Linked DNA regions of Xenopus tropicalis. The protein of the gene in region 1 interacts with the protein of each later gene in a pairwise test. Links are inferred from orthologs where the notes say so. Each region holds a gene or a part of one and is shown in the gene's direction. Other genes may lie near its edges. The genes, in order: kat5, zc2hc1c, apbb1, hmbox1, rchy1, pla2g4a and pih1d3.

What was found.
Region 2: the proteins of kat5 (region 1) and zc2hc1c interact in binary tests that used the Homo sapiens proteins (3 or more experiments, as listed by UniProt). The link is inferred for Xenopus tropicalis from reciprocal best matches to the Homo sapiens genes KAT5 and ZC2HC1C.
Region 3: the proteins of kat5 (region 1) and apbb1 interact in binary tests that used the Homo sapiens proteins (3 or more experiments, as listed by UniProt). The link is inferred for Xenopus tropicalis from reciprocal best matches to the Homo sapiens genes KAT5 and APBB1.
Region 4: the proteins of kat5 (region 1) and hmbox1 interact in binary tests that used the Homo sapiens proteins (3 or more experiments, as listed by UniProt). The two-hybrid records come from large-scale screens. The link is inferred for Xenopus tropicalis from reciprocal best matches to the Homo sapiens genes KAT5 and HMBOX1.
Region 5: the proteins of kat5 (region 1) and rchy1 interact in a two-hybrid assay, tested with the Homo sapiens proteins (2 studies listed by BioGRID). The link is inferred for Xenopus tropicalis from reciprocal best matches to the Homo sapiens genes KAT5 and RCHY1.
Region 6: the proteins of kat5 (region 1) and pla2g4a interact in a two-hybrid assay, tested with the Homo sapiens proteins (2 studies listed by BioGRID). The link is inferred for Xenopus tropicalis from reciprocal best matches to the Homo sapiens genes KAT5 and PLA2G4A.
Region 7: the proteins of kat5 (region 1) and pih1d3 interact in binary tests that used the Homo sapiens proteins (3 or more experiments, as listed by UniProt). The two-hybrid records come from large-scale screens. The link is inferred for Xenopus tropicalis from reciprocal best matches to the Homo sapiens genes KAT5 and DNAAF6.

Annotation. Positions count from the first base shown.
Region 1 is NC_030680.2:37,908,688-37,913,115, forward strand, and holds the start of kat5 (histone acetyltransferase KAT5), read left to right. Parts: upstream 1-1,267; 5' UTR 1,268-1,275; coding exon 1,276-1,284; intron 1,285-1,862; coding exon 1,863-1,929; intron 1,930-2,474; coding exon 2,475-2,543; intron 2,544-3,684; coding exon 3,685-3,821; intron 3,822-4,428. UniProt on the Homo sapiens protein: Catalytic subunit of the NuA4 histone acetyltransferase complex, a multiprotein complex involved in transcriptional activation of select genes principally by acetylation of nucleosomal histones H2A and H4.
Region 2 is NC_030684.2:82,259,085-82,263,015, forward strand, and holds the end of zc2hc1c (zinc finger C2HC domain-containing protein 1C), read left to right. Parts: intron 1-276; coding exon 277-1,457; intron 1,458-2,917; coding exon 2,918-3,166; 3' UTR 3,167-3,343; downstream 3,344-3,931.
Region 3 is NC_030678.2:180,027,980-180,031,293, reverse strand, and holds part of apbb1 (amyloid-beta A4 precursor protein-binding family B member 1), read left to right. Parts: intron 1-204; coding exon 205-317; intron 318-1,068; coding exon 1,069-1,245; intron 1,246-3,314. UniProt on the Homo sapiens protein: Transcription coregulator that can have both coactivator and corepressor functions. Adapter protein that forms a transcriptionally active complex with the gamma-secretase-derived amyloid precursor protein (APP) intracellular domain.
Region 4 is NC_030681.2:151,880,676-151,885,176, reverse strand, and holds the start of hmbox1 (homeobox-containing protein 1), read left to right. Parts: upstream 1-1,589; 5' UTR 1,590-1,796; intron 1,797-4,501. Other genes in the region: ints9 (integrator complex subunit 9), read right to left, coding at 1,285-1,293. UniProt on the Homo sapiens protein: Binds directly to 5'-TTAGGG-3' repeats in telomeric DNA. Associates with the telomerase complex at sites of active telomere processing and positively regulates telomere elongation.
Region 5 is NC_030677.2:79,548,323-79,552,704, forward strand, and holds the start of rchy1 (RING finger and CHY zinc finger domain-containing protein 1), read left to right. Parts: upstream 1-1,189; 5' UTR 1,190-1,194; coding exon of another isoform or gene 1,195-1,221; coding exon 1,222-1,272; intron 1,273-2,718; coding exon 2,719-2,838; intron 2,839-3,157; coding exon 3,158-3,273; intron 3,274-4,298; coding exon 4,299-4,377; intron 4,378-4,382. UniProt on the Homo sapiens protein: E3 ubiquitin-protein ligase that mediates ubiquitination of target proteins, including p53/TP53, TP73, HDAC1 and CDKN1B. Mediates ubiquitination and degradation of p53/TP53; preferentially acts on tetrameric p53/TP53.
Region 6 is NC_030680.2:119,503,417-119,507,347, reverse strand, and holds part of pla2g4a (cytosolic phospholipase A2), read left to right. Parts: intron 1-1,582; coding exon 1,583-1,778; intron 1,779-3,931. UniProt on the Homo sapiens protein: Has primarily calcium-dependent phospholipase and lysophospholipase activities, with a major role in membrane lipid remodeling and biosynthesis of lipid mediators of the inflammatory response.
Region 7 is NC_030684.2:38,692,394-38,696,980, reverse strand, and holds the start of pih1d3 (protein PIH1D3), read left to right. Parts: upstream 1-1,701; 5' UTR 1,702-1,803; intron 1,804-2,158; 5' UTR 2,159-2,165; coding exon 2,166-2,264; intron 2,265-3,749; coding exon 3,750-3,810; intron 3,811-4,587. Other genes in the region: nup62 (nucleoporin-62 C-terminal-like protein), read right to left, coding at 1-167. UniProt on the Homo sapiens protein: Plays a role in cytoplasmic pre-assembly of axonemal dynein.

The DNA of each region.
Region 1 (4,428 bases):
GAAAATTTCTGTTGCATAACAACATTCTTTATATAGTCTTTTTTTATGTTTAGGAGTGGATAGGAATTAGGTGATCAACCCTATGCATGCAGCAGGACTTTTAACCTCATCAGTGCTTCTGCTTTAAAATGTTACCTTTACAAAGCCTTGCAATTAAATGCAATAACAGTTATACTAGAAAAGAAAAAACACTTAATTCTGTTTTGAGCCCTTTTTAGCATGTTTCTAAAGTCCGATTATAGATCTGCTCTGAAAAAGCTGAGCATTTCTTTAATATGTTGTTGTTTCAAATTCATTATATTCATTATACACTGGGTCCCACAAGAAAATGTTTTTTTAGGCATTAAAACTTTGAGGAAGATGTCAGTTTCTCACAGATAGAAATTATGCATTATCCAGAACCCTTGCCTGGCCTGTACATTTCTTGATTCCCAAGCAACCACTGGGTTATTGTTGTTATACCTCCGGGTCCTTGTGTCTTTGCCTGTTGCTACTAAGCAGCTTTCACTTACGTTTATATATACAACAATAAATAGAGTATATTGTCAGTCCATGAGCTGAGGTGACAGTAAAGCAGAGCATATTAGAACAATGCCCATTTGATCTTACCTGTTACTTCACTGCTTATCAGAAATTAATTTTATATATTTGTGTTAAAGTTACAGAAGTTAATCTTCTGCCTTAGCTATTGTGGTTCCAGATGATCAATAACGTAATTTATTTCCATTACATACAGCATAGGTCATTTCTCACTAGCCATTGCTTATACAACACACATCAAGGAAAAGAAACAAAGGCATTGGCATAACCAGAATTTACTGGGACCCACATCCCTTTAGAGTCCCCTTTGATGGGAATAAATGTTTCACACACATTCGCAACCAACCTCTGTATACTACACTGTTTTTACTATTACACACATGCGTAACTCCGTTTACGGAAGTGTTTTGGGCGGATCGCTATCACTGGAACGCATGGTGCGTGTCAAATCGAAAAAGGGGAAACAATTACCGCCTTTTTGCTATTGCTGCCCAGGCGAATGCCTGGTAATTAATACTATATTTATATTTGTCCAGTATGCTCCAGTTATTACAAAAAATATATTTCTTTAAAATTTCATAACCTGTTCCAAATCAAGGACAAAGGTGAGTTTTAGAGGCTCGTAAAAATGCTATGCTTATTCCGGCGCGACTTCTTTGCCCTTCGATACGGTTGTCAAGGAAGGGGGAGGCGGCTGCGAGGCTGGAAAGAAGGAAGTCGCTTTAAAGCAAAATCATGGCGGAGGTAAGATTTATTGTTTAGCTCTTATCGCTATGTATGCGCAATTGTAGGTGATATTTCCACAGAATATAGTTACATGCAAAGCGTAGGATACGAAAAGGGGCTGGAATTTTGCGTTATCCATTTCTTTTATGTCAAGAGAACCTCTCTGTATTATGAGGCCATAGAAACATTTAATCATATTGACCAAACATTGGCTGTCGCTTCTTGCATGGCCGTATATCAGCTGCTGTGAATGCAAATTCCAATTGCTTGTAAGGTTCCCCATTTATATTCCCCATTAATGACCATGTTATGTCAGGATTTCCTCAGACAAATTACTGCATCTTGAGCCATATTACATTTGGTTTTCTATATTTGTTTTTCAGCTGATCTGTCTAGGATTTATTTCCTCATTATTACTCCTTTTAGATGTGCTGTTAGTTATTGTATCTCACACATTGACACCTTTTATGTTGTACTTTATTATTTAAAGGGGACATAAACTGTCAGGAACAAGTATTTGCCACTACATTATACAGCCATTAAAATAATACACTGTTAAGTTGCCCGTTTCTCATTTATCCGTGACTGATTTTCAGGCAGAGATTGTGGAGGGTTGCCGATTGCCTGTACTTCGCAAGAATCAAGATAATGAAGTTGAATGGCGTAAGTACTACATAGCTTGAAACGCACTGTAATAAATATTGCAGAAATATAGCTTGTACAGGTATAGGACCCATTATCCAGAATGCTCGGGACCAAGGGTATTTCGGATAAGGGGTTTTTCCATAATTTGGTTCTTCATACCGTAAGAAAAAAATCACAAAAACATTCATTAAACCCAATAGGACTGTTTTGCCGCCAATAAGGATTAATTATATCTTAGTACAGATCAAATATAAGGTACTGTTTTATTATTACAGAGAAATAGGAAATCAATTTTAAAATTCTACATTATTTGATTAAAACAGAATCTATGGGAGATGGGCTTTCCGTAATTCGGAGCTTTCTGGATAACTGGTTTCCGGAAAATGGATCCCATACCTGTACTTGTTTATGTTTACAAGAGTGTAGAATTCTGTGTGTTTTTTATTTATATGGTGAATTTTCATTCAGATGGTTTGTGAAGAAGCAAAGAAATAAAATGTAATTCATAATAAAATATACCGTTTTTGTAACCACTTCTTTTGTCTCTGTTTAATCCTCTCTAGCACTTGCTGAAATTCTGAGCATCAAGGAACTTACAGGGAAGAAACTATTCTATGTGCATTATATAGACTGTAAGTTTATATTTAAATATGGAGTTTAATGTTTCACTTAGTATTACATATATCCTGCATATTACATATAGTAATATGCAGGATACATGGCTTAAATAATGATATGTACTGAAACTAGGCTTGAGCTGCTTAAAGGGGAGCAATCATGAAAAATGTTTTTAGAATATTGAAAATATAAAATCTAGACAAACATTTTGACAATGTATAGCATTTAGAAATGTTGCACTGTTACAAAGTTATGGCTAATTATTGAAGCAGCCTCCCATTCGCCACCCTCCAGAATCTCTGTGTGAGTGACAGAGCATAGTGAAAGCTGATTTGCTGTGGCATGTCATGAGGCTCAACAGCAAACATGTGCAAAGGGGAAGTAAAGGAATTGAGCCGGGCTGGGCTAGGGGCTGATGAAGCTGCATTTGTACATATAACAGCAAAGCAGCTTATTGTTTATATCCTTTATATCCTCATATACACAGCACTTCTGACTCTTTTGCATTCAAGATTGTGCTGCTCACCAGCAGGCTTAGATCAGCTGCCAGTTGCCCTCTTGCAATTTACACATGCAGAAACAAATTTTTATTCAATACAGGTGTGACAGTTGTGACAAAAGAGTGTATAAAAGACACTCCCTCCATACCAGTGACATACCTATTGCAGCAATATTTCAGACCTCTGCACAGGCAACTGTGTATGTACAGGCACACAGATTCCTGTATGTTGGATTCACAGACACCTATGTCGTCAGAGCCCTTCTGTAGACTTTCTTTCAGGCTTCTTGATTGGCCAGCCAAATCAGGCCCACTTTGTCAGTCTGTAGCATTTACTCTGCTATAGCTAGTCCATGTCTTTTTTTAGAAAATGCCATATATTCTGTTATCAATTAGCTTGCATATTATAATGTAGGGATGCACCGAATCCAGGATTTGGTTCGGGATTCAGCCTTTTTCGGCAAGATTCAGATTTGGCGAATCCACAGTCCTGGTGGAACCAAATCTGAATCCTAAAATTCATGTGACTTTTTGTCACGTAAACACAGAAGTTAAAATTTTTTAACCTCTTCTAATTCTTATTGCTAGCATTTTTTTCTCTTGTAAAATTATTTCAGTCTCTTTTTTTTACTTTTTTACTCTATTAATCCCCCCAGTTAACAAGCGATTAGATGAGTGGGTTACTCATGATCGTTTGGATCTTAAGAAGATTCAATTTCCAAAGAAAGAGGCAAAAACTCCAACAAAGAATGGACTACCTGGATCAAGACCAAGCTCCCCTGAGAGAGAGGTGGTAAGTGCTTGGGCACTCAAAGAAACTGGTCATGTCAATCTGTCTTGCAGGGATGATGTTGACCATAACAGTTATCCCTGCACCTTACTACTAAAATAAGTGCAACAGAAAGTAGCAGGTAGTATTGCTTTAGCAGAACTAATGCCACTCTGCTCCTTTGGGCTTTGGGAGATATCAGTTTCTTCCTGTGCCCTCTTTAAAACAAAGATACCTGCATGTTCCTCCCTCTTCTCCAAGTCATCCAGTTGGGTGCTATTTTATCTAACATACTAAATAATTTCAGTGTTTATGATAGGATGTAGCATTGCTGTTCAACTTTTTGTATGTAGAGGGTCCATTATCAGTCATACTGTGTTTTTGATGGTCCTTATATATAAGGACAAGTAATGTTAAAAAGCTGCGCAGACTATGGTCCCAGGAGTGAAGGATTTTCTGAGAGAGGAAGTCAGATACCCTAAGAAAATGTTTACAAAAAAAAGAGACAAGAAATCCTGTGTTTATTTTGATAGAGGACTCAGTGCAGCGTTTCTCTGAGTGCTTATGGCTGTATTTACATAGTTTTACCTTTCCTTCTCCTGTAAGGCAATTCCTCTTGTCCTTTAATAAG
Region 2 (3,931 bases), on another chromosome or scaffold:
GGTTCAGGGGGCAATTACTTTTTCACACAGGGCCATGTAGGTTTGGATTTTTTTTCTCCCTAAATAATAAAAACCCTCATTTAAAAACTGCATTTTGTGTTTACTTGTGTTATCTTTGACTAATAGTTAAATGTGTTTGATGATCAGAAACATTTTGTGTGACAAACATGCAAAAGAATAAGAAATCAGGAAGGGGGCAAATAGTTTTTCACACCACTGTATCTGTAAAACATGGTCCATGTTTCTCTCAACACCAGATATTACTTTTCATTTCAGGTATTGGTATGTCTAAACAGAGAGTGGTACAGTACTCTGAAGTAATGTATGAAACAAAGTTGCCTATGCTAAAAAGAGAGTTACCAGCACCAAAAAGTCTATCCAAGCTTGAAAGAATGAGAAATCAGTATCAAGAGAGGGTCAGTAAGGAAAAAGAGGAGAAACTATTGACCCTTTTCACAAAGCAGCAAGAGCATACTACACAGAAGGTTCATGGATCCTCCTTACACACTGAAGAGCTGCGTCATAATCCCCGCAGCAATTTTAATGTCCATCATAATCCCCCCAGTTTGTACACAGCTCAGTGGCCAGAAGAAAAAAACTGGGCCTCAAACTGGATTGTTTCCAAACGGAGTGCTGGAGTGGATAGAGCACACCCTCTGAAACCTGTCTTTCACCCAAAGGACCAAAGGAGTGTCAGAACAGAGACAAGTCTTTACCGCTCACAGTCTGCTAGTTCTGCAGGGAACAAACTGACAATTCCACACCCAGAAGAACATATACGTTTGAAATCAGGGCCCAGCAGGCCAGAAGTATGGTTCCAACTGCAAAACTCCGAGCTGAGTTTGGAAGCCGAAATCCGTAGAAAGAAAGCTTTATTGAAAGAGAAATTGCGTAGAACTGAAGAGGAATTGCGCAGAATCCAGAGAGAAAAGGAGGTGGCAGAGCTGGAGGATACAACAGTTCAAGGAATCCCAGAAAGAAATAGAACAATGGGCAAACTTGATGAACAGGTTGGGAAGTATTTGCATAACCTTGATTTTACATTAAAGGCAAAAGAGAAGTCCAGTAGGCATTTTAGAAATCAAAATTTGATGCCTAAGGAGAAAGATCCTCAAACAAATCAAGAAGTTCCAAACAACATGACAGAGAAAGAACAGCCTGTTTACAGAGGTAGAAGCCCACAATATGCAGCTAATTTCAAAGAAGAAGAGAAAAGGCAAATGCCTAAGGATGTGCCTCAGGATGATGCACCAGAACCATCAGCAACAGAGCTGCTTCCCTGTAACTTGTGTGGACGACAATTTCTAGCACATCGTCTGGAAAAGCATACTCAAGTTTGTCAAAAGATGCAGAAATCTAATCGAAAAGTATTCGACTCATCTAAAGCACGAGCCAAAGGAACAGAGCTTGAGCAATACTTGCAAACCAAAGGAAAAACTCGGCCGAATGTTCCTAAGGTCAGCTTTATTTGCTTACAATCCCATTTAATGACAAGGAAAGTAAAATGTCTAATGCCTATTGGTTTTCTACTCTTCTTGACCCTCATTGCTATGTTACTCTTTTATTGCTTCAGTCTCTGTAGCTTGAAATGCTCCTTTTGCATCTGTCTGTCCCTTAGGGCCTTTGATGGGTGAGCATTTCAAGAGGTGCTAATACACATGCACTGCCATCTAATGTGTAAGTACATTGCAGGGCTAAAAAGATGGCAGCACAGATTCAGCAGTTAAACAGAGAACTACAAGGGCTGTGAGGGCCAAGGGGACCTGCTCTACATAACCAATAATTATTCATTAATTAACTTTACTTGTCCTTTAATTTGTTCTGCATCTTGAATCTAAAATGTATTTCTGTTTGTCTTGCGAGGAGCGGATTTCAGCATAAAAACGCTTATGTGCCTATTTTACTGCCAAAATTTGCTCTTTTTGTCTGCACTCGGGCACTGGAGCACTAAATTTTAGTTTTGTAAAGTGATGTAGTTTTATGATGTGCCAAACACAGGTGGAACGCAACTAGTTTGAAAAAAGGGCTGCATTTCATTATGCATTCCCCTGAGGTGAAATGCATGAAAAGAACCAGGTGGGGTCTTTCAATGGGGGTGCTAATATAAATGTCTCAGGACCAATGCTCCTTTTTAGGAAAAAAGACTAACATAGTGCAATCTTTTCCATGTGACATCATCAAATTAGACATATGTGTGTACCGTATTATAGAATCCATACTAAGGCCACCCAGCTGGCCTTAGCGTAAAAGCTGCTTAAAATTGCACCGTGGCGCGGTTAGTTTTCTCTATGGGCTTGTGCATATTTTTCCTAAGGAGCACCGAACTGGGGATGCCTAAGATCTTGGCATCTCCTCAGTGAGTGGGGATTTAAGATTGCAGTGGCAGGACAGATAAAACAGAAATATTTTCTATTTGCGTCGTTGGAATAGGAACAACTTGTATAGGAGAAAATCTTTAATTAATGATCAGTTCACTTATGCATAAAATATGATGCACATTTCACACATAACACAAGAAAATCATTTTAAGAAAACTGATTTTCATGATGGTGTTATGTAGATGTTCAGCTTAGTGGTTAGCACTACAGCCTTGTAGCACTGGGGCAGAGCTCAATTCTGACTAAGGCAAAATTTGCAAAAGTTTGTGTGCTCTGCCTGTCCTCCAGATCCTCTCAAACTAAAAAAAATAAATATATTGCCTTTTGGTGTAATATAACCTAGTATGTATATTGCAAAAGTGTGGTAGGTATATAGTGAATTCCACTGGAGCACAGACCAATATGACTAATGAACATTCTTTGTAAAGGGTTGTGTATCATTTTAGTATAAATAAAAGATAATAATAATACCATTTGCAATTTTCTTTTAATCAGCCCCCAAGATTCACCTGATTCTTCTCTTTTTTCCCTCCAATTAGGTACAGAGCAATGCATGGCGGCAAAAGCATGAGTCGTTTCAGCAAACAATTCGTCATGCACGTACAGTGCAGCAGGTTATAGCCAAGGGGGGAAAACTGTCTGATCTGCCTCCCCCTCCACCTGAGGAAAACCCAGATTATGTAACTTGTCCTCACTGCAATCGTCGTTTTGCCCCACGAGTAGCAGAAAGGCACATCCCTAAATGTGAAAATATTAAGAGCAAACCACGACCTCTTCGAAGACGCTAACGTTGAATGGACTGCAAGTAAACAATAATATGTTTGTGCTTTTTGTAATATTAAAGTGTCTGTTTCTTTTTGTAAAACTTGTATCTTTGAAAAACATCATTGTCACCCAGGAGATGTTCTTATTCAGTATAGCCCCAAATTTGTTTTGCATGAATCTAGTAAATGATAACATGGTAATAGTTGCAGTGTGTGTGTAATGATTTAAGTATGGATTTAGTTACTAAGGGCAATGGCACACATCAGCCACAGTAAATCTGTACTACTCTGGGTAAAAATCTCCCATTTGCTATTGTATATCATTAGGATTGTTTGTATGCGGTGATCAAGCTTATTTACAAGGAAATGCAATTTTCTGTGATTAAGTGGGAATGCATCTTAGGGAGGTTTGTCACCCATGGTAGCTCAGATTTACCATGGGTGAGCATTCTTACAGTGTGCCATTGCCCTAAAACTGAATTTGTGATTAGAAAACATAATGTTACTACAATTTATACAGAAAGCTCCCCACACAAATGATTACAACAGTTCATAATTCAACATGTAAGATTATATGATTATCATGACTTACAGTTTTAGGCCACATTAAAGGAGAAGGAACGGTAAAATCAATGGTGACAGCCAAATGTTAGGCGCCCCCAGTGATTATAATCACATACCTCATACTCAGGGCTGACGCTCCTGTCAGCAGAAACCTGTACTGGCCAAGGGACTTCTAAACGAGCACCATGGAACAATTGTCTTCTTCCATTTCTTCATTCTTCAGTG
Region 3 (3,314 bases), on another chromosome or scaffold:
GGGGCAGGCGGCGTTGCTAGGGAAGGGGCAGACAGGGTTGCTAGGGAAGGGGCAGGCGGTGTTGCTAGGGAAGGGGCAGGCGGTGTTGCTGTGTTGCTAGGGAAGGGGCAGGCGGGGTTGCTAGGGAAGGGGCAGGCGGGGTTGCTAGGGAAGGGGCAGGCGGTGTTACTATGGGCAGTGAGAGACTGGATGCTTTCTGTGCAGGGATGGAGGTGATTAACAAGATGCTGCAGACTGCACTGGCGAGGAGTAAAGCCGACTGGATTCCTGTCACCGTTAATGTGGCGGCTGCAACTGTCACCATCACCCGGCAACAGGTCTGTATGGGCCCCGGGGTGTCCCCTATTCTCCCCTTACTGCCCCCCCCACCTGTGGTTTTACCCCTCCTTCTACTTCGTTCCCTGTCTCCTTCAGCTCTATTGCCCCCTTACCCATCTCACTATTGCCCCCTTACCCGTCTCTCTATTGCCCCCTTACCCGTCTCTCTATTGCCCCCTTACCCATCTCTCTATTGCCCCCTTACCCATCTCTCTATTGCCCCCTTACCCGTCTCTCTATTGCCCCCTTACCCATCTCACTATTGCCCCCTTACTCGTCTCTCTATTGCCCCCTTACTCGTCTCTCTATTGCCCCCTTACTCGTCTCTCTATTGCCCCCTTACCCATCTCACTATTGCCCCCTTACCCATCTCACTATTGCCCCCTTACCCATCTCTCTATTGCCCCTTACCCATCTCACTATTGCCCCCTTACCCATCTCTCTATTGCCCCCTTACCCATCTCACTATTGCCCCCTTACCCATCTCACTATTGCCCCCTTACCCATCTCACTATTGCCCCCTTACCTGTCTCTTTATTGCCCCCTAACCCGTCTCTCTATTGCCCCCTTATCCATCTCTCTATTGCCCCCTTCCTGTCTCTGTATTGCCCCTGCCCACTCACTGGCCCCGTTTGTTTCTCTTTGTGGGACCCCTCCCTGCGCCCAATGTGTTGTGTTCCCCCCAGCCTGTCAGTATTGCCCCATGTGCTGCCAGAACCACCCCTTTATACCCCCCTGTGTCTCTGACAGACGGAGGAGCCGCTGAGTGAGTGTCGGGTCCGGTTCCTGTCGTTCATGGGGGTCGGGCAGGACGTTCGCACATTCGCTTTCATCATGGCCGACGCCCCGGGGCAATTTGTGTGTCACATGTTCTGGTGCGAACCCAACGCGGCCCATCTGTCCGAGGCTGTGCAAGCGGCCTGCATGGTGAGAATCTGCCCCATAGCTATTGCCCCTGCCCCCATCTGTCCGAGGCTGTGCAAGCGGCCTGCATGGTAAGAATCTGCCCCGTAGCTATTGCCCCTGCCCCCATCTGTCCGAGGCTGTGCAAGCGGCCTGCATGGTGAGAATCTGCCCCATAGCTATTGCCCCTGCCCCCATCTGTCTGAGGCTGTGCAAGCGGCCTGCATGGTGAGAATCTGCCCCATAGCTATTGCCCCTGCCCCCATCTGTCCGAGGCTGTGCAAGCGGCCTGCATGGTGAGAATCTGCCCCATAGCTATTGCCCCTGCCCCCATCTGTCCGAGGCTGTGCAAGCGGCCTGCATGGTAAGAATCTGCCCCGTAGCTATTGCCCCTGCCCCCATCTGTCCGAGGCTGTGCAAGCGGCCTGCATGGTGAGAATCTGCCCCATAGCTATTGCCCCTGCCCCTCAATTTTGACCCTCCCATTAGGTCTGCCCCTCCCACTGGGGCCTTAGGTTTGTCCCTCCCACTGGGGCCTTAGGTTTGTCCCTCCCACTGGGTGCTGAAGGTCTGCCCCTCCCACTGGGTGCTGAAGGTCTGCCCCTCCCACTGGGGGTTTAAGTCTGCCCCTCCCACTGGGGGTTTAAGTCTGCCCCTCCCACTGGGGGTTTAAGTCTGCCCCTCCCACTAAGGGCCTCAGGTCTGCCCCTCCCTCAGAAATTCCTCATCTAAGGACACTGCCAATGCCATTCTAGGATTAAAGCCAAACTATCCGATTAAGCCCCGCCCACCTGCTGCACATTTAGGACTATGGGGGGGGGGGGGCTGATTTGTACCAGGGGCCCCAGTGTAGCCCAGTGAATGCCCCCCCCCAATCTGTGTTTCTTCTGCTGCACATTTAGGACTATGGGGGGGGGGGGCTGATTTGTACCAGGGGCCCCAGTGTAGCCCAGTGAATGCCCCCCCCCCCCCCAATCTGTGTTTCTTCTGCTGCACATTTAGGACTATGGGGGGGGGGGGCTGATTTGTACCAGGGGCCCCAGTGTAGCCCAGTGAATGCCCCCCCCCCCCCCCCCCCCCCCCCAATCTGTGTTTCTTCTGCTGCACATTTAGGACTATGGGGGGGGGCTGATTTGTACCAGGGGCCCCAGTGTAGCCCAGTGAATGCCCCCCCCCAATCTGTGTTTCTTCTGCTGCACATTTAGGACTATGGGGGGGGGGGGCTGATTTGTACCAGGGCCCCAGTGTAGCCCAGTGAATGCCCCCCCCCCCCAATCTGTGTTTCTTCTGCTGCACATTTAGGACTATGGGGGGGGGGGGGGCTGATTTGTACCAGGGGCCCCAGTGTAGCCCAGTGAATGCCCCCCCCCAATCTGTGTTTCTTCTGCTGCACATTTAGGACTATGGGGGGGGGGGGCTGATTTGTACCAGGGGCCCCAGTGTAGCCCAGTGAATGCCCCCCCCCCCAATCTGTGTTTCTTCTGCTGCACATTTAGGACTATGGGGGGGGGGCTGATTTGTACCAGGGGCCCCAGTGTAGCCCAGTGAATGCCCCCCCCCAATCTGTGTTTCTTCTGCTGCACATTTAGGACTATGGGGGGGGGGGCTGATTTGTACCAGGGGCCCCAGTGTAGCCCAGTGAATGCCCCCCCCAATCTGTGTTTCTTCTGCTGCACATTTAGGACTATGGGGGGGGGGGCTGATTTGTACCAGGGGCCCCAGTGTAGCCCAGTGAATGCCCCCCCCAATCTGTGTTTCTTCTGCTGCACATTTAGGACTATGGGGGGGGGGGGGCTGATTTGTACCAGGGGCCCCAGTGTAGCCCAGTGAATGCCCCCCCCCAATCTGTGTTTCTTCTGCTGCACATTTAGGACTATGGGGGGGGGGCTGATTTGTACCAGGGGGCCCCAGTGTAGCCCAGTGAATGCCCCCCCCCCCCAATCTGTGTTTCTTCTGCTGCACATTTAGGACTATGGGGGGGGGGGGGCTGATTTGTACCAGGGGCCCCAGTGTAGCCCAGTGAATGCCCCCCCCCAATCTGTGTTTCTTCTGCTGCACATTTAGGACTATGGGGGGGGGGGCTGATTTGTACC
Region 4 (4,501 bases), on another chromosome or scaffold:
ATAATATCCCTATATGTTACAATAGGGGGCACTTTATTCACTATATATTATAAGGAACTCCTCGGGGGCTTATAATATCCCTATATGTTACAATAGGGGGCACTTTATTCACTATATATTATAAGGAACCCCTCGGGGGCTTATAATATCCCTATATGTTACAATAGGGGGTACTTTATTCACTATATATTATAAGGAACTCCTCGGGGACTTATAATATCCCTATATGTTACAATAGGGGGCACTTTATTCACTATATATTATAAGGAACTCCTCGGGGGCTTATAATATCCCTATATGTTACAATAGGGGGCACTTTATTCACTATATATTATAAGGAACTCCTCGGGGGCTTATAATATCCCTATATGTTACAATAGGGGGCACTTTATTCACTATATATTATAAGGAACTCCTCGGGAACTTATAATATCCCTATATGTTACAATAGGGGGCACTTTATTCACTATATATTATAAGGAACTCCTCTGTGACTTATAATATCCCTATATGTTACAATAGGGGGCACTTTATTCACTATATATTATAAGGAACTCCTCGGGGGCTTATAATATCCCTATATGTTACAATAGGGGGTACTTTATTCACTATATATTATAAGGAACTCCTCGGGGGCTTATAATATCCCTATATGTTACAATAGGGGGTACTTTATTCACTATATATTATAAGGAACTCCTCTGTGACTTATAATATCCCTATATGTTACAATAGGGGGCACTTTATTCACTATATATTATAAGGAACCCCTCGGGGGCTTATAATATCCCTATATGTTACAATAGGGGGTACTTTATTCACTATATAACAGGATGTGGACCCCTTAGCAACAAACACATGTGCATTAGCCCATAGCAACCAATCAGCTTTGATCAATTTAGAGCAGGTCAGACTCATGGAAGTAGATTGGCTGCTATGGGTTACTGCACTTTTGCACCACTCTTACTAAATACCCTGTCAGAGGGTAAACTGACATCTATGTACATCTGATGGCCATATTTAAGTGAGGGTAGGGACTTTGTCAGGGAAGGGACTAGAGAGGACCTGGAGCCCACACACATAAAACAGAGGAATGGGCACATTTAGGACCTGCTATTTACTCGCAGAACTACAACACTGTTGGGGGATGCTGGGAGCTGTAGTTCAGGCAAAGGTTGGAAAGGCGCCATTTGGGAAGCACATTGCGGATACAGACACGCCAGGGCATATCATATCTATAAAGGCATGAGAGAAAATATAAGAACCCAAAACCATGAATCTCACCAGCTTCATCTTTGCCTTGTCCCCGGCCTCACCGCCGAGCGCCCCTTTTTCTGGTGACGCGATGGTTTCTGGGACTTGTAGTCTCTCCGGCCCATAACTCGCTGCGTCAGTGTGACGTACGCTCAGCCAGGCGGGATAGGGCGGTAAGAGAGAGACTGGCGCTCGGCATGCCGGGTAGTGTAGTTTTCCTGCTTTCGCCTTCCGCTCGCTCCCCGGGGAGAGTCTGGCTGCGCCGAAAACTACAACTCCCAGACTCCCGCGCAAACATTCGGCTGGGAGCTGCGCGCTGCTGAGTGCCAACATGGCGGCGGGGTGGCAGACAAAGACGGGTCGGGTTCCGATGTGAGTCCCGGAGGCGGGTGGGGGAAAGTGAGCGCGTCGGGCACCGAGGGCTGCTACTGGCACTCCGACTGGCATAGGACTGGCATACATTCTCTTTCTGCCCGCTGGCTGCGGGCTCGGCAACCGGACTCATGTTGTGTGGGAGAGAGTGAGCGCTGCTCGGCACTCAGGTAAGGTACTGGCACCCCCTGCTCTCCAGCAACTCCTGCACTCTGCCCCGCTGCACTCTACTCTCTCTGTCTCACTCTCTTACTGCACTCTCTCACTGTGCCACACACTGCCTGACTGTCTCTTACTACACTCTCTCACTGTGCCACACACTGCCTGACTGTCTCTTACTGCACTCTCTCACTGTGCCACACACTGCCTGACTGTCTCTTACTGCACTCTCTCACTGTGCCACACACTGCCTGACTGTCTCTCACTGCACTCTCTCACTGTGCCACACACTGCCTGGCTGTCTCTCACTGCACTCTCTCACTGTGCCACACACTGCCTGGCTGTCTCTTACTGCACTCTCTCACTGTGCCACACACTGCCTGGCTGTCTCTTACTGCACTCTCTCACTGTGCCACACACTGCCTGACTGTCTCTTACTGCACTCTCTCACTGTGCCACACACTGCCTGACTGTCTCTTACTGCACTCTCACTGTGCCACACACTGCCTGACTGTCTCTCACTGCACTCTCTCACTGTGCCACACACTGCCTGACTGTCTCTTACTGCACTCTCTCACTGTGCCACACACTGCCTGGCACCCTTGCCTCTCTTTCTCACTCTGACTGGCACCTACAGCACTCACTCACTGCTCTCTCACCCTGACTGGCACCTACAGCACTCTCACTCTGACTGGCACCTACAGCACTCTCGCTTGCTGCTCTCTCACTCTGACTGGCACCTACAGCACTCTCACTCACTCACTGCTCTCTCACTCTGACTGGCACCTACAGCACTCTCGCTTGCTGCTCTCTCACTCTGACTGGCACCTACAGCACTCTCACTCACTCACTGCTCTCTCACTCTGACTGGCACCTACAGCACTCTCACTCTGACTGGCACCTACAGCACTCACTCACTGCTCTCTCACTCTGACTGGCACCTACAGCACTCACTCACTGCTCTCTCACTCTGACTGGCACCTACAGCACTCACTCACTGCTCTCTCACTCTGACTGGCACCTACAGCACTCACTCACTGCTCTCTCACTCTGACTGGCACCTACAGCACTCACTCACTGCTCTCTCACTCTGACTGGCACCTACAGCACTCACTCACTGCTCTCTCACTCTGACTGGCACCTACAGCACTCTCACTCACTCACTGCTCTCTCACTCTGACTGGCACCTACAGCACTCTCTCACTGCTCTCTCACTCTGACTGGCATCTACAGCACTCTCTTACTCTGGCACTTACAACACTCACTGACTGCTCTCACTCTGACTGGCACATCCTGCACTCACTGCCCTCTCACTTTGACTGGCAACTCCTGCACTCTCTCTGTGCCTGCCCCACTGCACTTTTTTGCCTTTTTCTTTTCGCTTGCTGCACCCTTATGTTGTGTTGACACTTTTTTAACTTTTAAGCCAAGCCCCTGGCAGTTTCACGCTGAACCCATTGAACTTGCATCCTGCCTGGCACATTATATACCCTGTGTTGCCTCTCACCCCCTGCACTCTCCCTGCTCCTGCCCTGTTGCACTCTCCCTGACATGGCACTTGCTGCACTCTCGCTGCTCCTGCCCTGTTGCACTCTCCCTGACATGGCACTTACTGCACTCTCCCTGCTCCTGCCCTGTTGCACTCTCCCTGCTCCTGCCCTGTTGCACTCTCCCTGCTCCTGCCCTGTTGCACTCTCCCTGCTCCTGCCCTGTTGCACTCTCCCTGACATGGTACTTACTGCACTCTCGCTGGTCCTGCCCTGTTGCACTCTTCCTGACATGGCACTTGGTGCACTCACTCTGCTCCTGCCCTGTTGCACTCTCCCTGACATGGCACTTAGTGCACTCTCGCTGGTCCTGCCCTGTTGCACTCTCCCTGACATGGCACTTAGTGCACTCTCGCTGCTGCTACCCTGTTGCACTCTCCCTGACATGGCACTTAGTGCACTCTCGCTGCTGCTACCCTGTTGCACTCTCCCTGACATGGCACTTACTTGCTGCCGGGTATGTTGCTGTATGTGACAGTGCACACTGCACAGGTGTGGATGCCCCTCTCGGCACTCTCACACTATTCCCTGCCCAACTGCACTCTTCTGACTGCTACTTTCTGTATTGACATTGCCCCTGCCCAGCTGTGCGCTCACCTTTCTCTCTTTCACATAATTGTCTGTCCCTTGTGCAACTCTACACTCTCAGACTTCTTTCACATATACGGCACTCTTGTACACCGTCCCCTCTTTAAACTGCGCTCTGTTTCTTCCCCATGTGCCAACTGCTCTGTGTACAGCTGTCCCCCACTCACCCCTGTAGCACCCCGCACATTTACCCTGCCCCATATACAACTTGCCCCTAGCACTTCTCCCTGATACACATTGCTGAATGGCACCCCTGCTTCTATCACTCATGTTTGTTTCATGCCTCCCTCTCTGCCCGGTCCTTGCACCCTGACTGACCTGCACCCTAGTCTGATACTTGCACCCTCACACTTCAGCCCGATGCCTAGGCACTGCCTTGCCAGCTAGCACTTAGCTTTCATTTGGACAAAACCTTTAAACTTGATGGTTTCGTGTCTGTTTTCCAGCCATAATTCCTGTGTATGTTACTATGTTGCCCAGTGAAGCCTGATACTTGTACTCATTGCACTCCTCGCACTGCACTAACATGCTGCTGTTTCCCTGCACTCTCACCCCACTTCATGTACTCTCAAACCTCCCTC
Region 5 (4,382 bases), on another chromosome or scaffold:
GCGCAAGCATACGAAAAAGTTGCACGGGCGTCGAAAAAGTCACGCAAGCAGCGAAAATACGCTCAGAGCGTTTGTGTCTTAGTAAATCTGCCCCTTGGTATTGTATTGCTGGTAAGTGTGTTGCTTTATATTTGAGACAGCTCAGTGGAGTCTGAGCCTCTAAACCCAGCGCGTGGCCAATGTATTTTGTATGTGAAGTTGTGTGTGTGAGAATCAGCAGAATGTAAAGGCAGTTATTGTTGCCCTTCACAATTTCTTTTACTCTGGCTACAGGTTTCAAGTATGTAAGCAGTTTGTCATGAGGGTGGTGCTCTATATTTACAGCAATAAATATACAGCATATATGAAGATATAGTAAAAATCATGGGCTGGTACTGCAATTACCCTGACGTGTTCTGGTTTTTTTATTGATTAATCTGACATTGCATTTATTCTTGGTGTGTATAATACATTAAAAAGAAATGTAAAAATGATTCTCAGAAAAATGCTATCATCCTTCTAGAATTATTTATACATAGCTTCCCCAAACACAAAAACCATGCTACGTCTATGAAGAGGGTAGTTTCAGACGGGGCAGGAGCTATAGAGAATGTGACAGCCATATCTGTAAAGGTGGCCATACACGCACCGATATTATCGTACGAAACCTCGTTTCGTACGATAATCGGTGCGTGTATGGCATGTCAGCGAGCCGACCGATATCGCAGGAAGCTGCTGAAATCGGTCGGCTCGCCGATCGGCCAAGTTAGAAAATTTTGATCGGGCGCCATAGAAGGCGCCTGACCAAAATTCTCCCTTCAGAGCTGAATCGGCAGAAGGAGGTAGAAATCCTATTGTTTCTACCTCCTTACCTGCCGATTCAGCCCTGAATGGTGTGTGGCGGATCTGACGATGTTTCGTGCGACCGATGGATGGTCGTACGAAACATCGTCGGATCGCCACGTGTATGGCCAGCTTAAGGCAGGGATTGTCTGCGGTATGACACAGTGACTGGTCCATTTAATAGGACATTTCTGCGCCTTCTCTAAACGATTAGGCAGAATAAGTACGAGTATTCGAACTCCCCGATATCATGTCAGAGATGAACAAAACTGAAATACAAATAGCGCGCGTTATTGCGTATGAGCCGTACTGTACGGCACTGTCCCCACCCCTAGCTCCTCCCCCTAGCTTCCGCTTCCTACGCTCACACTTATGGCTTCGGGCTGTCCCTCTGAGGACATGGAGGTGACGGGAGGCTGCGAGCATTACAGTCGGGGCTGCCAACTAAGGGTGAGGGAATTCGGGAGCCAGGGGGTAGGGATCTGGGAACTAAACGGTGCGGGCAGTATGGGGAATTGGGGCGGGGCGTATGAGTTTGTGAGAGATCAGATCGTAAGTTGGTGTGTCACAGCTCGTCACTCAAACTACAAGTCCCATCAGCTGTTTTAAAGGAAGTGTATGCGAAGCGATGTCGGGAGTTGTAGTTGCTAGCATCTACCTGTCTAGTAGTGATCGTGGCTCGATCTATTCGAGTCATGGATAATGTGAAATGTGTTGCAAGTAGACGGCCAAATGCTTGGAGCTGCGATTTAGCGTGTATGCCAGCTATATAAAAGCAATAAAAATTTTGCATCCTACTTAAAAACAATTGTGGATTTTTGTAACATTTCTTTGTATCCCCCAATTTCTGATACAATATGACGTATCTGTGGGATTGAATGACCCCCACCTAACACACGCACACTGTATAGTAAGCAGCCCAGATACCCTTACCATAGAATGCCATGCAAAGCTTTCCTTTCTTCAGATTATTTATGTAATGCCACTATAATCAGCACATGTGCTGGAAATAGTGTTTATATTTCCGAGCTGTCTACCAACCCTATGTCTAAAGAGAATTAATAATCCACTCCAGGATTGATACTTTATTTCATGCTTTCAGCGTGAATAGGAACTCACACCTAAAAATACGAGTAGTCTGTTGTGTATGTGTGTTTTTTAACAAATGGTTATGGCTTAAGGCTGATGCCAGACGTGGCGTAGGGCTGTTATTTTCGGCAAGCGGAAAAACGCTTGGGAAAATACAGCCCTACGCCTGCTACTTGTGCCTGCACCCGAATGAATGAGATACGCTCGGGTGCAGGCACATGTAGCCGATATACACATGAAAATGCGAGACTTTGCATTATCTTGTGTTTTCATGCGTTTATCGGCTACATGTGCCTGCACGCGAGCGTATCGCATTCATTCAGGTGCAGGCACAAGTAGCAGGCGTAGGGCTGTATTTTCGCCAAGTGTTTTTCCACTTGCCGGAAATATCAGCCGTACGCCACGTCTGGCAACAGCCTAAAGATTTATTTTCTTTGCCACTTGGTGAGGAACTAAGGAATAACATGGTTTCTCTAACATATAGGAGCTCTCTTTGTTCAACTAAATATATTCCATATTGTACGACTTTGTTGCTGGTCCTAGTTGTAAATGTGAATGCCCATCGTGTGTGATCACCGCCAGAAAGCTGTAGAAGAGATTTCAAATGGCCTGACATGATGCCTGTAGCTCTACTATATTTCACAGACAAAAGGAGCAAGATTGGGGAATGTGGATTGCACGTTTTTAGAGGGGGGTTCTGCAAGTATAGATGACTTTCCTTGTCCTAATCTGCTGATGCACCTTGTTGGGGACACTGGTCAAATGAATTGCTTTAGTACTTTATAAATACAGCATTTTATCTTTCAGGCCCCTTGCTGTGGAAAGTTTTATACCTGCCGCCTATGCCATGACAGCAAAGAATCGCACAAGATGGACCGCTTTAATGTCACACAAGTTCAGTGCATGAAATGTAAATTTGTACAAAAGGTAACTTTTATTCTTGGGGTTTTTGTTCAGAGTCTGATGACTTGTGCTTAATACATATTAAAGATCAGATCAAAGTTGCTTTTTTTTTCCCAAAGTCAATCTGTTTAAATAAATCTGTTGGTTCATGTCCAACAAAAAGGTCAGTTGACTGAATTCTGTTAACCATCTTGTTGACAATATGATAACATTGAAGCTACATTGTTTGCATGGCAAGGAATTCTAAGGTGTAAAAGCTCAACAGCATAAGACATGTGACTACATTTAAGAAAAAAAGATAAAACCCCAGTATGTCTGAATTTCTTGTTTATTTATGTTGTAGGCTCAGCAAACATGTGAGCAATGCCATGCGGTATTTGGTGATTATTACTGCAATATATGCCATCTATTTGATAAGGACAAGAAGCAGTATCATTGTGATGGATGCGGTATATGCAGGTAAGCTGAAGCCTAGCACAAAAAAATTTAGTCTGTGATTCATTACAATAGTTGCTATGTTTGTAGCAGTTGAAGAGTAGTGTCTCTTTTATGACAACATATGTGTCGTAACTCCATACATACTGTAACTTTACATAGGGTGCTTCTTCATGTGGCCGTTTATGGTCTGATAAAGGGTGGCAACTTGTCCCATGTTTGTGAGTATGTTTAATATCAACAGATTAAGGCTACTGTTGCATATGGTGCTCTCACCACCATTGTAAAAATGCCAGTGGGAAAAAACAGCAATTCAGCACCCTCTGCTATAAATGTGTGGGCTTTGACAGGACTGTAAACTGCCTATTAAGCTGGCCATACACGCACGGATAATATCGTACGAAACCTCGTTTCGTGCGATATTCGATGCGTGTATGGCAAGTCGGCGAGGCGACCAATATCGCAGGAGGCTGCTGATATCGGTCGACTCGCTGATCGGGTGAGTTAAAAGATTTTGATCAACGCCATAGAAGGTGCCTGAGCAAAATCTGCCTTCAGAGCTGAATCGGCCGAAGGAGGTAGAAATCCTATTGTTTCTACCTCCATATCTGCCGTTTCAGCCCTGAACCTTAGTGGACGATTGGAACAATCTTTAGTGCGACCGATCAAAAATCGCCACATGTGTGGCCACCTTTAGTGTGCTCATGATGCTTTTTCTGGTCAAAATCTGCACATTGAGAGGCAGATAACAATATTGTCAGTCATTACATATGTGGAGCAGAGGGTGGATAAATTGAATGTGTGACAGTAGCCTTATAGTGCTAAAAAAGTCCCAAACTTAAATAGTATGGTCTAGAATTATAATGGTTGGAAAGGAAGGTTATTAATCTACTTTGTGGAACTAGTTGTATGTTCTTTATTTTAGTTCCCAGCATTCCATAGTTTACATGGACAGGTAGTGAGTGCAGCATTATGGCATGTCATGTTGATCTATCAAATGCTGCCATGATAGGCTTCTCTTAGGAAATCTGTTTTATTTTTTTTCTTAGGATTGGTCCTAAAGAGGAGTTTGAACATTGTACGAAATGTAATTTATGTTTACCACTGAGCCTCAGAGGAAACCATAAGGTAAA
Region 6 (3,931 bases), about 82 Mb from region 1:
CCATTTGAGCTTGTTTAATGGAGTTATTAAGAGCTGTATAACTTTGCTTCTCCCTGTAATGGCGACAATGCAGACTTCACAATGCAGACAATGCAGCTTGTGGCACATAATGCCTGTGCCTGCACCCAGGATCTCCCACTGATACAAACAAATAAAGGCCAAAATAGCTTACCAGAGCTGTAGCTTGTTTATAAGTCAATGGAGATGGACATGGGAGCTTTTCAGACAGCTAAAATATTGTATCTGCCAAGAGCTGCCTGTGCCATTAGTCTTTTCTATCCTGTTTTATGCTTACTTATTACATCTCATAAGTGTCTGTAGTAACATAATTCCTTTGCAAAAGCAAAAGGGACAAGACCTACTAGTTCAGGGTGTAGTAAACCCAATTCTGCTGAACAAGGTTGGCTTTTTTAAAGGACAAAAGTGTGTGTGTCCATGTGAGTGTGTATGTGTTTTCTGTAAATATGGTAATGTTAAATCTGTGTTTGAATTGCTGCCCCTTTTAAGACATACAGTAGTTCTTGGAGCATGCTGATCATTAAGCTAGGCATAACACAGCCAAGCAGCAAATGAAGGGAAAAGTACAAAGATAAATGCCAGTACATCCAGGCAGGACTGGAACACTTTATGTGATGACAAAGTATATAGTGTCAGACTGGTGGCCCCTGGGCCCACCAGAGGAACGGACCTCCAGGACTCAGCCAACATCGCCCACCTCTCCTTGTAGATGCAATAACATAATAATAATAATAGGTGGCTAAGATTTTTCTTTATGTATAACGCAGGGGTAGGGAACCTATGGCTCGGGAGCCAGATGTGGCTCTTTTGATGGCTGCATCTGGCTCGGTGCCAAATCTTTAATAAAAAAAATAACGGGGGCTTGGCCTGTGCACAGCGTATAGAAGACGTGTTCTAAGCCTTAGAACATGTCTTCTATCCGCCAAGCGCAGGCCATGCCCTCCTCCGCATTCGGCATCCTTGGGACCCACCCTACCTTGTCCCTGCGCTCGGCGGATAGAAGACGTGTTCTAAGCCTTAGAACACGTCTTCTATCCGCCAAGCGCAGGCCACGCCATCCTCCGCATCGCATCCGGCATCCTTGGGACCCACCCTACCTTGCCCCGCCGCATCCGTGGCCAAACATATTGTATGGCTCTCACGGAATTACATTTGAAAAATTTGTGGTGTTTATGGCTCTCTCAGCCAAAAAGGTTCCCGACCCCTGGTATAACGGGTAACATGTTTCTTTCTCAGTATTGTTTTTTATTATCTTTAGTGAAAGTTTAATAAAATTTTAAAGATTAAATGTTATCTTTATTAAGATTTTTTTTATGTTTCTTTGATTCAAAAGGAATTCAGACATATATCCTTGTTATTTCAATGATGATAGTATTTCTGCTGACTCATTGGAGGTCAATTTTTTATTCTGCTGCTGTACAAAATTCCCCACTGAAGCACGCAGCCTTACTGTGTTAGGAAACTGAGATGATCATAGCGCTCTTCATGAGTGTCTGTTTTTAAAAAAAAAATCTTACTTTCCGATGAGGATTTTAAACATTCTAAACATTTACTTCCGTCAAAGGAACTCCTACTTGCTGAGAAATGGGCAAGGATGAATAAGCTGCCCTTTCCAAAAATAGACCCGCATGTCTTTGACCGAGAAGGACTGAAGGAATGCTACATATTTAAACCAAAAAACCCATCAGTAGAAAAAGATTGCCCCACCGTCATTCATTTCGTCTTGGCTAATCTTCAGTTCAGAAACTTTAAGGCACCAGGTAAGATTGGCTAAAAGAAAAAAAAGCAAACTGTTCTCCCCATTCCTTTTTCCAATTACCATTGTTTAGTAGGTGTCAACAGTGAACCATGGTTATTAGCTGTACAAAACATAAGATGGGTCTGATAAACCCATTTAATAAGTGACCTTTCTTGACAGCAATGACACACGATATCTCAGTGCATGCCAGAAAGCTATTTCTCACGAACTGATACATCATATACAATTATATACCAGAATATTCTATTGTATGTAGTTCTGGCTTTTCATGTTGTTTTAATTGCAGAATATCACCACTGTCCCTCTAGGGCAGGGTAGGCTGCAATTTTCTCAGGAATGCCCTTTTCACAAATGTTGGTAACGCATTGGGGACTATTGTGAATACTACATTAAACCTCATTGTTGTTTCTTTTTAAACCCCTTGCATTTCTAAGTATTAATGCCCATATTAAATGATTGCCCTGGTACTTAATACCCTGTGAAAAATATGACAGATAACATATCCGTGTCTGGCTTAATAAATGGTCACTAAACTCAAAATACAAGGATCAATATGCAATTAAAGCTTGTTTAAATGCTGTACATAATCTTGTTATCTTCTTAAAGGACATCTGAATGCACTTATGTAAAATGTACAATGTGCAAAAGTTTAACGACTTTGGCATGCAGTGTGCTTGATTGACACCAGCAGAGCCAATCAAAATACCAGGCATACAATTTACAGGAAGTCAAATAGCACTCTGCATGTGACTGTCACCTAAAGCACACCTGTGTATGGATGTTGCTTAAAAAAAACTTAAAGCCTGGAAAATGGATTTTCTAACACGCTAATAGCATTGTTGGTGGTTTAAAAAGATTTGGACATTGAAATTTGAATTGCCAGTTAGATTAAACTTTAGAACATATCCTAACAGATTATTATTTACCCATCATTTGTTTATAAAATCATAATGTACAGGGTCATTATGGGAGTATGTGCTGGTTTCTTCAGTTTCACGTCCTCAGAAAGCTACTTTTCCCAACCCAATAACTAGTAATTCAGATTACAAGGTGGAAATGCAGACCATTGGAATTGCAGTACAATTACAATATATACACTTAATTAGATGCAGTGGTCCAGTTTTCCATTTCTGATAATTACTATTGAAGCAGTTGTGCTAAATGTTCATTAGTGAAATAGATAAATGCTTCCTTACATGAATATCTTCAGGCCATCACCAGAGCAGCACCCTACCTATGGAATACATTACCCTACAACATCAGACATTCCCTACCCTACAGAGTTTCAAATGTTCTTGCAAAACTCACATCTTCCATGAAGCTTGCACAATAACCTGTTGACTACTAGTAGCTCCCTTACTCACATTCATTTTTGTACCTAAGTATCACTCCCACATGAAAGAAGACATGACATACTATGCAATACTATGCAACTTTAAAATACTTGAGAGTGGAAAGAGTGGCATTCCTAGACTGTGTGGGGCCCCCTGCAAAAAAAACTTTGGAGGGGTCCAGTGCACAAGGCAAGCACTACCTGCCCCTCCTATTGGCCACCTGCCCACCCCTCAGAAGAGCAGTGGGGAGGTGGGTTTGCTAAAGCTATTGAGGAAGCAGAGCCTGCGGTCCAGGCCCCTGTCCCCCTGTGCCCCCCATGGCTGAGGAGTCTGGTTCCTCTATAGTTATGCCACTGAGTGGAAGCATTAATATTCTGTACAAATATTTATTAAATCCGGCTGCACTTAGTCTCATGTATATCTGTTCACCCAGTAATGTTCACTCCAATCATGGAATTGTGTGCTAGTAAAGCTGTGGTGACTGCTTTACTCACAATGTAAGGTTTAGGAACTAGTGAGGTTCTATAGGGCTGGCTGCAATCAAGCCTGACTGTGTTTTATCAGCTAAATCTAATTATCAGTTAACTTTGGTCAGTTGGTTAATCAAGGACAATTACAGGACAGCTGCAGGACAATTACTTTTTCATATGATTGATAAGGGTGTTGGATAACTTTGTACCTAAAAAAAAACTATTCACTCCCTTGCGATGTTTTATTGTCGAGGTAGTGGAGTGGCAGTGAATTTAACTTTGTTTTTTGACAATTATTGGCAGAAATAGACTTTTTCATGTCATTTGACATCATTAATTACAATGATTAA
Region 7 (4,587 bases), on another chromosome or scaffold:
GTGGTGGAAGCAGGAGTCTGTGTGGCTGTGCCGAAATTGAAACCACCAGAAGGGGCTGCAGTTGTTGCACCAAAGGAAAAGCCAGTTGTAGCAGTTGTAGTATTGGTTTTTGGTGTCCCAAAGCTAAATCCTCCAGCAGAGGCAGCACCAAAGTTTAAGCCACTCATAGTGGTCAATTCTGTGGAAGAAAATAAGTGCAGATTTATTTAAACTTTTTGTGGATAAAAGAGACACTAAAGTGACATTTAAATCCTGTTCTAAAGCTCTGGGGGCTAGACAGTACTTTTCTAAAGCAGGAAAAAAAAGAACCTAGTTAAAAAATTAAGCTTTAGTAAAGGTGGCCATACACTGTAAAATAGTTTGCATATTTGGAGAAGATCCAACCTAAAGCCAAACAACTAAACTTAAACGGTGGGCAAAAGTGACATCGGACTGAGGACCATATCTACAAGGCACTGTGGTACCTGATCCAACGGAAAATGAAACATGCCCAATTGGGATCTAGCCAATTTCGGAGCAGATGTTGGTCGGGCAGGGCCATCGGGGGTGCCCATGCACGGGCAGATATGCTGCTGAATCTGTCTGAAGGTCCCGTATCTGCAGCAGAAATCTGCCCAGTGTATGGTCACCTGTGGAACATATTGGCATTTTATAATTATGTGGTGTTGTTAATAATAATAATAATAATAATAAAAATAATATAGGCAGAATTTCCATTGCTTGAACCTATAGGAAATAACTTGCTGGTGATGATTTTACTCATTCCCATCCAGACTGGCAAACTGGTCTCAGTAAAACAACAAGATTTTGAGTATTAAATCCCCATAGGATTCAATTAAACTTGGAAAGTTTGACTACAGTACAAAATTCCATAGCTTTGTATGTATGTCTTTATTTATAATGAACACAGCGCTGTACAGTGGAACAATGCATTAACAGAACAAACAAGGGGTCATTACAATAATAAATACTAAGTACGATCATAAATACAAATAAAAAACTAAGTACAGTTGCATTAAAGACTCCACAGAGTTAAGTGTCAAAGAGACAAGAGGGTGGAGGTTCCTGTCCCCTTGAGCTTACAATCTAAATGGAAGGGTAACTGACAGGCACAAATAGGAAGGTATTTAGTACTGCAGGTCACAGTGGGTGATATTACAATATGTGTGGCAAACATTACAAGATCTGGCTACTGGTTTGCCATTCTCAAGATGGCATTCTAACAGCAGAAATGCGTAAGGGAGTGATAATCTGATTCCCTAACATTTGTAATATTGCTTTATAAACCGTCTCTATTGGGAAATACAGATGTTTAATCAGTCACGCTAAAATAACCAGTCTAGGGTTGGGCAATCTGAGGCTACTAAGTCTGACTGGTGACAACTGCGTTGTTCACTATCAAAACACGAAAGCCATGCTGCTAAGCACTCCTCAGCCGTATACACAGCTACTAATGATAACACAAGTTATTTTTTAGAACCAAGTGTTACATATAAATACCCCATGCCTAAAACCTGTCTTACTATGAGAAAGTGAATGAAAACAACTGCAATCATACCTTTACTCTTCTCTCAGCACTCCTGCTTGGCACTTCCGGGGGAGCGGGAAACCAAATCATACAGAGCCCACTGACAAGCTGGAACGCACGCATGGCGCAGGCGCACTGTCATGACGTATTTCCGAGGGGCTTTTACTCAGGCGACTTGTGCGAACAACTAAACCTAGAGGCGGAGCGACTGTGTTTCCATGGAAACCGAAGTATCAATTCTAAAAAGAACTGGAGTACAACTACAAACTAAGCAAGTATGCGTCTTTCTGACTTATAAATAGCAATTTGAAGGGGTTTTCGTTTATTTATTCTGTTAATACAGATTATATCTTTATAATGTTGTTGTGTGCCTAATTCTGGGCAACAATGTGGGAGCATGAAGAGCTTCTTAATCAGTAGTTTGGGACTTAAATATTGGGTTTGGGGTGGGTCAGTATTATGTTCATTAAAGAAAGAGGCAAAAAATGTATATAGTTTACAAAAGTTATATGGGAGGATAAATAGAACTGAAAAAGTGCTTATAAAACTAATGCCAAAGCATGATCATGGATTGTTTTATCATTAAAGTGCATCATTGCGGTAATATGTTAGTTTGTTTTCTGGCCGTAGTTTGAATATGGAACTCTCACTGGGTGAGTTTACATCTGCTGGGTCATTGGATGCCTTGTGTTCCCTGCTCAACCCTTCCGTAGAAGAGGATGAAGGTGACTGTAGGGTAAGTTATTCATTATTCTTTATATAGTGTCAACATATTCTATTCTGCAAATCTTTACAGAGATTATACAGGTATGGGACCCGTTATCCAGAATGCTCGGGACCTGGAGTTTTCCTGATAAAGGATCTTTCCGAAATTCGGATCTGCTACCTGCTAGTGTGCTAATAAAATTATTTAAACAGTAATTAAACCCAGTAGAATTGTTTTGCCTCCAATAAGTATTAATTATATCTTAGTTGGGATCAAGTACAAGGTTCTGTTTTATTATTAGAGAGAAAAAGGAAATCATTTTTAAAAATGTGAATTATTTGATTAAAATGGAGTCTAAGGGAGATGGCCTTTCCGTAATTTGGAACTTTCTGGATAATGGGTTTCCGGATAAGGGGTCCGATACCTATACATCATTCACATCAGTCCTTGCCCCAGTCGAGTTTATAGTCTAAGGTACTTATCACATTCACATAAACTATGGAAAGTTTAATCAGGATCCACTTTTTCTGATTGTATGTTTTTGGAATGTCTAAGGAAACTGAAGTGCCTGGAAAAAACCCATGCAGATTGCCCAGGGGCAGAAATTGAGCCTAGAATCCAAGTGCTGCAAGACAGCAGTGCAAACCATTGCACCACTGTGTTGTAAGTTAGTAGACTGCACTGAGCAGTCTTGTCTTTTTCCATGTAGTGGACCACTTATCTAATATGGCTCATGGAAATTTAAGGCATTTGCTTTGTATTGAAAAAGCCCTAAATAGCTCCAAAAATCTAAAAATCTAATTTTAGTGTAATTGTGAATTGGGTACATTTGCTAATTTTCTCATCCTGTTTTCCATGCACTCTTCCCCTTCGTCATTTTGTCTAATAGATTTCAGATCATTAACAATGTGTTCATATTGACTAGAAATGGAGAAAGCATCTGACAAATGGCATGAACTGTGGCTTCTTTCCTTTGAAATTAGCACTGTGCCATTATCAGCAGATGAACATTGTAGGAGTGTGCATGAGGTAAATATGAAAATATTAACTTATATAGGGCACTCTCTTGTGATAAATCATATTATTGCACTTAAAAAAGTATGGAAAGATAGACTTCTGATCAGGGTGTCAGCATCCAGGAATTTCATATCTGGTCTCCCACATTGCCTATATATTTTTGTAAAATACAGATGCCAAAGTGTACTCCCAAGTGAATAAAACCCAGTAATTTAATTGCTATTTCTGCAGCATCCTTGGGGAAGTCCCAAACTTGGTAAACCATATATTTCTGGGAAGGGGTTTTAAATAACCTCTCTTCATTGTTTATATGCCCCAAACAACATGGTGGATCCGCTTCTTAACAAAGGGCAGAACCAGCTAACTTTTCAGGTCTCAGCTGCCCAAGAGGGGAAACCGATGGTAGGACATACCAACCCTCCTCACCACTGGACAAAACCACGCTAAAACTGGGACACTTGGGATTTTTCACAGTCTCACCTTACATGTTCTTTACAGGGTCCATTAGCAGCATGTGTTGGGCCAGGAGATATTGGACCTGCAAGGAGCCATGAGCCAGGTGGGGATAGTAATTGCCTAAAAATGGCATATTACATGAATGCAATTCATTACTATATAGTCATTTGGGAAGTCAAACAAATGGAAATATAAACCAAATTGTTGGAAACCTCCACCCTTTCATTTTGAAGATGGAGAGTCTTTTTACAAACAGGCGCTTCACATTGCATTTACTCCCATATATATTGATTATTACATTTTATTTGGAATGTTCTGGCTTGACCTAAGTAGGATAAAACTTAAACTTGTTCAGCTTTAAATTAACTTTTAGTATGATGTAGACAGTGATATTCTGAGACAATTTGTGACTGGTTTACATTTTTTAATTTTTGTGGTTTTTCAGTTATTTAGATTTTTGATCAGCAGCTCTCCAGCTTAGAATTTAAGCAGCTATCTGGTTGCTAGGGTTTTATTTACCTGAGCAACCAGGCAGTGGTTTAAATGAGAGACTAGAATATGAATAAGAGAAGGACTGAATAGAAAGATAAAGAATAAGAAGTAACAATACCAATAACATTGTAACCTCACAAAGGACATATTTTTTAACTGCTGGAAAACTAAAAAGGTGAAGTGGGCACTAAATAATTTGAAAACTATAAAAAAATAAATAATGAAGACTAATTGCAAAGTTGTTGTGGAAAAGGACATTCTATAACATACTAAAGGTTAAATACTCCATTAAGTTATCTCATTACAGTTTGTGAGATATTTAATTCCTCACCCTAAAGCTAACTATTCATATGCTAGGTCCTCTATGAAACAAAAAATGGGATACTAA